2 linked regions of the Saccharomyces cerevisiae S288C genome follow. The gene in region 2 interacts genetically with the main gene of each other region. Each region holds a gene or a part of one and is shown on either strand. Other genes may lie near its edges. The genes, in order: HXT1 and ROD1.

Region 1 (4,148 bases), on a different chromosome or scaffold from region 2:
ATTCGGTTCTCCTCCATGCATAATGACGTAGTATTCTTATTGGCGCCAAACATAGTGTCATAATGCTTTTTCAACGATTTTAAAGTAACTCTTAGTGGATTGGAAAGGTCGCCTTTTCGATGGTAGCGTGCATTTTCTCGTCATTTTTTTTTTACTTGTCGTCTTTTCTTTACTGCTTCACCTCTTATCAAGCAAGTGTTTTTCGTGTCTCCCTGTGCCAGTCAGAAAATACATATGATTGGCAACTGTATATCCATTGAGATCGACTCGGTTATCTGTTAATGGAAATTATTGCTAGTAATTATAAATACCTAAAAACAACATCCTAACAGGCTTAAGTAACACTACTAGATGTTGAAGCAGCAGCGTTGTCAATTTCTATTCATTTGACATTTTTCCGAAATCATAAGCGGGCGTTTGAACTATGTATAGCGCCTATGTGGTATTAACCCATACTATATCATATAAAATTTTTCCTCGGAAGAGTGCCAGAATGAAATTTCTTGTTCCTTGGTGAAGGTCAAGAACTAGCAAAGAAAAGAACATCTGTTTATGAATTTGACAAGAATTTTGTTTTAACACCAATATAATATCACCTTTATAAAATTTACTGAGAAATTAAATACTGTATAAGTCATTAAAATATGCATATTGAGCTTGTTTAGTTTATTTCCTGCTAAACAAACTCTTGTAAAATGGTTGGTCATCATGCATTAGGTCATCAGCGTTGTAGTCAGCGCCTCTCTTGGATACTGGAACCCAGGAAGCTGATTTCCATGGTAGAACACCTTCGGCGTACATATCATTAACTTCTTCTAATGATAAACCTTTAGTTTCTGGAACGAAGAAAAAGACGTAAAAGTAAGCGAAAACCATACAGCCCATGAAAACGTAACCGTAGTAGAAGTTGATGGCACCAGTAATAAATGGGGTGAAGAAACTAATCAAGAAACCCCAGATCCAGTTAGCAGCACTGGCAATAGACATACACTTGGATTTGACTCTTAATGGGAAACATTCTGAAATAACAACGTAAGCAATTGGGGCCCAGGTAGTAGCGAAACAGAAAATGTAGAAACATGCGAAAACAATCATACAGTTACCAGCACCCTTTGAAGATGGTTGATCTTGACCGTTTGGCCATAATCTGGTAACACCAACAGAGGCATAGACAACATAACAGCAGACCATACCGACAGCACCCCACATCAAACAGTTACGACGGCCAAAACGGTCAACGGTGTACAGAGAACAACAAGTGGAGAAGAAGTTGACGACACCAAAGACAATAGAAGTTTCAAAAGAGTCACTTAAACCGACAGCCTGGAAAACAATGGTACCGTAGTAGAAGAAATAGTTATCACCAGTTAATTGTTGTAGAGATTGAATCATGATACCCATCATAGTACGTTGAAACATGGCTGGTTTACCAGTGAATAATTCGCCCCAAGATGCAGTACCAGCGGCTCTCATTTCTTCGACACTGGCTTCGATAGTTTCCAACTCATATTGAATGTATGGATGGTCAGGTGGGCATTTGTTAACTTTAGCTAAAGAAGCCCTGGCTTCGTCGATTCTGCCAGCTTCAACCAAATAACGTGGAGATTCAGGAACAAACATCATACCACCAATCATAAATAAGGCCCAGGCGAAACACAAACCTAATGGAACTCTCCATTGGACAGAGTTTGAGTAATTCTTGGTACCAAAATTGGTACAGTAACCTAAGAAAATACCTAAAGTAATCATGACTTGGTAACATGAAACCAAGGTGCCTCTCATTTCACTGGGGGCGACCTCAGATATTAGCATGGGAGATAAAACTGTGATACCACCGACACCTAAACCAGAGATAATTCTACCAATGAAATATTGGTACCACTTGTTGATCGAGGCTATTTGAATAATGATACCGATAGTGTAGATTACTACAACGACAATCAAACCGATTCTACGACCATACATATCACCTAGCTTGGCTAAGACGATACCACCAATGGCACAACCAATGTTAAAAATAGAGACAATTAAACCAGTTCTCACCTTGGACAAGTAATGACTACCGTCGTGGTGCTTCATACCAAATCTTCTTAGAAAATCAGTTTGAGCAACAAAACCAGAAATGGTACCAGTATCCCATCCAAATATGAAACCACCGAAAGCAACCATAACACAACAGATAGAAACCGTTACGTAGACACCTTTTCCGGTGTTTGGAGGGGCAACGGCGGGTTGCACTTGACTTTCACTTAAGTTGTCGTGAAAACTTTCATTTTTACCTTCTGGAGTATTCATGGCCTTTGAACGACCAGATTCCAATTCATATGAGTTGGATGAATTGGATTTCTGAGGAGATATTAGATCGGGAGTTGAATTCATGATTTTACGTATATCAACTAGTTGACGATTATGATATCTTTATAGATTTTAAGGTGGGGAAAGAACATGAGACCCCAGATGGAATTGATTATGGGGACATTGTTGCCTTTATATATAATTTCAATATACTAATTCAAATGATTAAAAACGTGAGGGGGACACGCAACTTCGGGTGTTAAGAAATATTTTGCTACATTAGATAATGGTGGAGTTTCCTGGCTTGTCGGATAAAAGCCATCAAATGTCGCAGCAGCTCATGTTTACGTTTGCTGTCTTCTGCCCACGTCATATGAGTGGTATTCTTCTATCAGCACTTGATGAATATTCTTTTTCTCATATATCTGAAAGACAAAAGATCGGCACGGCAATGCCCTGCAGCATTTCTTCCTAGTTTTTCCGAATTTCCATTACGTATTGGATCTTGTGCGCATATTTGTCAGTCCTTCACGGAAAAAAAAAAAGAGCACTGGGTCACTTCGGAAAAACTTTTGACTCAATGCAACAGTGTCATAATCCTTTGCGCTGTCTCTTTGAAGAAAAATCAGGAGTGCAAGATATCGATTAATTCCTTGGAAGTTATGATGGTTAGTCTTAGTTTAACTCTCTTGAAGAAGGGTTTTTTCAGTTGGTCAACACTCTTTAGAGGTAAAAAAAAAAAAAAAAAAAAAAAAAAGAGAATTCTTCATGTAATTTACCATGATTCTACGTTTTTGCAAGCAAAAATGAAGATAATCCGAGCGCATGCGCAAGTAGTCCCTGCCATGCCGCTTCGGAAAAACTTTCGAAACCAATACTCCTTACATCCGCCTTGAATTTAGGACCTACAATTGTTGTCTCTTCTGCTTGAACCAATAAGCCCTAGAAACCTTACACCCTAATTTGCACAAGAAAACTACGAAAAAATTTTTTCCTCTTTTTTCCGCAGCTCCAATCTCGCCCTGCTATTTTTTTGGTTCGGAGAAAAATAGTCGGTCGATATGAATTGAAGTTTCATTGTGGCCACTCGTTTAGGAATGGAATAACCTCCGCGAATGGAAAAAAAGAACTCGGAATATCAAAAATTCCGGCTCAAAGGAAAAATTTGCTTCAGGAGGGGGGAATTATATTCCAGATGAGACCTGCAAGGATTTCTGTGTGAGGTTTTCTCGGAGGAATAATAGTTTTCCAAAAATTACTTTTGGCAACTACGTGAATATAATTGACTACGGATATCCTTCGAGAAGGCCATAAAAAGAACCGTGACAGGGCCAAACAGAAAAATAATGAAGACAAGTTTGCTTTTTCTCTCACTGTATTTGAGGATCGGAAGCTTTTTGCACTGAAAATATTCTGGGTTAACAAGGTTTAAAGAAGCAAACTGCCACAAAGTATATGAGAGTATAACCGGACGGTACCTATACTTTGAAGTTGGAATAAATACGGGGTAGACAAAAAGGATGTGTTTCTGTATGTCTGATGAGAATGATGTCATCAAAGAACGTAAACAACAGTAACTGTCTATATTCTTGCTTTTTATTATGCGCTGTTACAGCAGGTAGCGGAGTTTTCAGTTCTTTCCCTAGTATGTAGTATGAAGGATAATACGGTAAAAGAACGGGGCTCTTGATTCATCATATAAATTTATTTTCCCCTGTTGAAACCTCGAGTAACCGTCCTCACTGTTTTATTACCAAGGATGAGCTCGAGCAGTTGTAAGAGAGAAGTGGGCAGAAAAGTATAAGTAACAAGAAACGATATACAAGTTCTTGTTGTTAGGCGTAGCAACCCTT
Region 2 (4,905 bases):
TAACATTTAATTAGAAAATTTTGTAGTGCCAATAATTGTTGAGGAAGAAGTGCCAAGTAAAGAAAAACAGATCTTCTGAAGCTCATTGTATTCTCATTATATTCTCTCAAAAATACGTTCGTATAACTGATTAATCCTGTTTTTCTAATCACTATTTTAATGTTTCAATTGAGGGATTTTGCCTTCATACAATTGTTGAGAGAAATTTTCCAACAAGTATGGGAAATATGAGCAATTCTTATCTTTTAAAAACAAGAACTGGTCCGATATTATTCACCTCAAACATATTGGACGAGATCATTTTTAAAACGTTAGGGGTGGGGAGGATATCAATAAGTTTTCATAATTATGTTAACCTTCAAGCCATAAAACCGAGTAAGACCACTTAACAAAATCTATGAGAAGCCTTGCGGCAGAATCTGACAACTTCAGTGAAATTTTTTTGTGATTATAGAAGCATAAACTACAACGCCGAATTGTTTTACTTTATAGCAATTATGAGGTAGTATTATAACATTATATTATCATTTTTCAAGTGGTATGAGGTATGAAAGTACTCTATCAAAGTATATATGCTTAACTGTACAAACGTGTATGAAGTATTGCTCATATCTTTTTGTCGAAATTTCGAAGACAAAAAATAAAGCAGTCTATGAGCGATCCCGTTTTGTGAACATCTCCATTAAATTAGCAAATGAACCTGTTCCTTGTCTTAATGGTGAGTTGCTATTGTTGCTCCGAACTGACGATGAGCGTGACCTTCGATTGTGGGTTGCGCTCGTATAGTTTTCCTCTTCTCTTGGCTTATTAGCGTCAGATGTAGAATCAGTTTTATCAAAATGTGAATTGTTCTTGGAACTTGAATTACTAGTGAAAGATGTTGTCATATTAAACGGAAAATGTCTGCTTCCTGTGCTGCTTTTTGCTGAAGTGAAAGAGAGATTTAGATTAAATGAACTATCTGTGTTGTTTCTCGCCAACTGCTGCAATGATACTGAGGATCCGCTATTATTCCTTGGTAATGGAGAGTGGGATAAATGTGTCCTACTAGACGATCTTTTCAGATTATTGGAACTCTTGCTCGAGCCTGGAAGTGGCAACAAAGAGGATGTAGACTTGTGATGAAGAATTTGTGGCCTTTCTAGTTCAATTTTTTTATTTTCTTGAACTCCAAGTTCTTCCTCGGGATAAGCCGGTGGAAGATCCTCACCAATCATATCAGATTTCATTGCTTTATCATACGAGGGAACTCTGCTTAAATCTGTCAGTTCCAAATCGTTCTTCAGCGATGTAGAAGATGTTTGGCGACTATATGAGTTACGCCTAGATAAATGTGCAAAGCTTGGTGTCAGTGAAGGACTATTCAATCCAGCATTAATGATGTTATTATATCTATTTGCAGAAGGAGAGTTATTGTTCCAATTTTCACTAATTGTTAGATTACTATTAACCAGATTCAGGTTACTATTGTTAACGCTGTCCCCTCGAGAGTCACAATTATTTAGGCTATCATCTTCAATCTTGATTTGAGGATTTGGTGCCAAAATAGGATTATTGCTATTGTTACTATCCGATATATATAGGTTTTGAATATTGTGAATTGCCTGTGATTCGACGGCACTTGAAGAAGCTGATGCTGAAGTTTCGTCTTCATTAGTTACCTCGCCATACACTCGATCGTAAACGTGATTGCCGTAGTTGGGAGGTACCATCAAACTAGTTACCATAGTTGTGTCAGCGACTGCGGTAGCCTCTGCATCAGTACTATTGATATTTAAAGTAGAGCCAGATACTATGGTTGGCATTGAAGACAATTGTAACGCAGAAGCAGATCTTTGAAAAATCACATCTTCTTCACTATCGTCTACAAAGTTTTTGCTGCTGAATGAATTATCGTGCTGACTTGTTACTTGATATGAGGGTCCAAACGTTTTGAGCGTTCTTTCAATAACATCGGAGGTCTTTACATTGACTGGAACAAACGGTGAAATGAATAATTGGACAGGCAGTGCCGCACGCAATTCTGAAATATGACCGTCCGGATTGAGTAAACTTATAGTGAACTTGATCTTATGACGGACTTTGATATTAGATAAAATGCGACAGTCTTGGGAGCATTTAGTCAGGCTTGCAGGTATGTTTAATAAAGCTCGAACTTCCCATTTATCTTGAAATTCCCCTGTGTCCGTATCAACCCCTTCGTCGGCAGCTTCATTTAGGCTCCTCTTCTTCTTTATTTGGGCAACGTGCTTCAGGGGATCTTTTAGTTTTAATTTAGCCACCATTCTTTCTTGGTTGATAACCCCTCCATAGCTACCACAATACTGGGAATTTTCCACCAAACTGATCCTAACAGGGCCTAACTTCAATCCTTTTAATATAGGAACAATTAAAATATTGATCATGGTGGAAGAGCCAATGGCAATTGCCTTAGTTGGAATGGAGATCGTATAATCGACTTTTTCAGGCCATGAGTTATCCACTGATACTGTTTCAGATAACTCGACTGCATCTATAGCTAACGTTCGAATAACTCTTAGATGTTTTTTACAGATCAAGTCGGGCTGCTTAGGTCTCTCGATAGTAGCTTCCAGAGCATAAGTGACGGCAGCATTTGGTAGGCCTTCTACACTTTCCACTAATGACCCAGGAATAATCGCGCTGAAAGGGAATTCGTAGTTACCTTTTACTAAGGTGTGATAGTTTTTGCTTGCGCTTGTCTGCCCATTACTTGATATCAATGATGCAGTAGAAAGGGCTCTTTTTCTCTTTGGCAATGCTGCTAAATTTGTTGAGGATTTACTAGAAATTGTTATTTTACCATTATTATGATTATCGTACAAGTTTTGGAAATAACTTTTTATATTAAAATCATCCCAAAAATGAGAATATATGTTTCTCTCAAACTTTGAGTATCGCTTATGCGGCCCATGAACAGTTTGTAAAACCGTTGGAATATTTAGTCTCAACCTACCAAAAAGTCTCAAAGCCAAAGACTTGATTTGAATTGGCTCAGTAATTGACAATACTATAGTTCCAGATAGTAGGACAGAAGATGCCTCATCAGGGGGGCCTTTTATCAGTAAAACATCATTGTCCAAATTTCTAAGTCTGATGTCAAATAGTAATGGCTCTTTTGAAGGTCGAGATGATGATGAAAACATTATTACTTATGGAGGAAGAGAAGCGAATGGTGTGATGAAATCGCGTTGATTTCTGTATGGTTGTTAATTAGTTTTAGATCTGCATCTTTTTGACGTCTATATTTGAATAGGGGACCCCTGTTCTGTTTTTTTCGCTTAATAAAAAAACGCTGAAAATTGCAAGAGCCCAGCCATACAAAATAATTTATAAAAACTGTGAACAGGAAGCTTCTCAGTTTTTATCGGAGAACCCATCTCTGGGGTTAGACATTCATCCGCATTAAAACTCCTATTTTTACTCGTAGTTTTCGGTCTTCAAAATAAAGCAGATTCCTTAAAGTTAGATGCTTTTATTCAACTTAATCAGTAATGTAACATAATATGTACCAAGGGACTCGACTCTTTTTGACCCATTGTTTAATTAATATGTGTTATAATTACAAGAATAATGCATTGTATGGACATATCTAAAAATACATAGAATAATTACATAAGGTCGAAAGTTGTGAGTGAATACATTAAAGTAGTAAAACTTCACCTATAACATTAGATTGCCCAACGCTGACTACTGTCTTCTAGATATGGAACTTGTTACTCCTTTCTAATAGTTTTCTTCGAAGGGCACCTTTTTTAGCATATGCGCGCAGTTTAGTTTGCAGTCGGGTAGGGCCAAAATTAGAATATCTTTTGTTACTTCCATTATCGCGGTGATCATTGCGGGCTTGTAGTGATTTGATTCGATTCATAATTTCATCCTTTTTAGACATATCAGGTTCCTGACGTGTGATTACTTGATTTTTCAATGCGTTTAATTTAACATCCAAATATTTAAAGTATAGTTTTCGTAAAATTTGTTTGTCATTGATATCTGTAAAAGTAGAGTTCACCTCCCAAGTGGAAACATCGGAAGCGTGGAAAAAGTTTGGAGTCTGTGTAGATGGTATATCTTTGTACCAGTCTCGTTTCATCATGTCAGAAATATATTTACGGGATTCGGTGTCGAGAATATCGTTCTTTTTTAAAGCAAAATCAGGTAGATGTGTAGTATTAGGATGATGGTGATAGAAATGCTTGACATTTACTTTAAATCCAACTAAGGAATTCAGGTGTTCCTCCAAAAGATTTTCGTTATATGAGCGGAGGTTTAGTAGCTCCTCTGTTAATTGTTCGTTCGAAGTATCCTTTACCAATAAAGATTTATCCTCGTACTCAGGTGACAACGGCAGGGCTACAATATTTAGCACCGGTTCGTTAAAGAAGCGGCCACTTTTGGATCGTTTTTCTTCAACTTCGGTTTTAAGCATTATTTTGCATTTTTCCCATTTCGTATTACTTGAGTTAAGTAACTGCTCAACGTGTTTCAAAATATTACTGAACAGATTCATAGACATCTTAAATTCCCTATTAGCCACCAAGCAAGCAATTTTCCTATCGTCCCTGTCATAGTGTAGAATGTAGTCCTCCTCACCATATATCCCTTTTGTGATATCATTCTTCTCCTTTAACAAACTGTCGAATTTGCTGTTATACGAAGAATGGATTATATAATCTAATTCGTCCAAAGGTAGATATTGGAATCCAAACATCTTAGAAATATTGTGGTATGCAACGAAAATACCGTCCATTTTGCCAATTCTAGCTTGCAAAGAATACTTTAGAAGGGCAGACCTGATTAGTTCAAAATATTCTCTTTCCAAAGACTCAAATTCCCCATAAACTTTATCTATCTCATATCCAGTTTGGTTGTTATTACTCTCTACAT

Evidence for each region.
Region 1: of ROD1 (region 2) and HXT1, changing one suppresses a phenotype caused by changing the other (phenotypic suppression), as found in Saccharomyces cerevisiae (one study listed by BioGRID).

Annotation. Positions count from the first base shown.
Region 1 is NC_001140.6:290,247-294,394, forward strand, and holds HXT1 (hexose transporter HXT1), read right to left. Parts: upstream 2,380-4,148; coding exon 667-2,379; downstream 1-666. UniProt on the Saccharomyces cerevisiae protein: Low-affinity glucose transporter. HXT1 is as well involved in the transport of mannose.
Region 2 is NC_001147.6:362,628-367,532, reverse strand, and holds ROD1 (Rod1p), read right to left. Parts: upstream 3,165-4,905; coding exon 651-3,164; downstream 1-650. Other genes in the region: PET127 (Pet127p), read right to left, coding at 3,719-4,905. UniProt on the Saccharomyces cerevisiae protein: Mediates resistance to o-dinitrobenzene, calcium and zinc.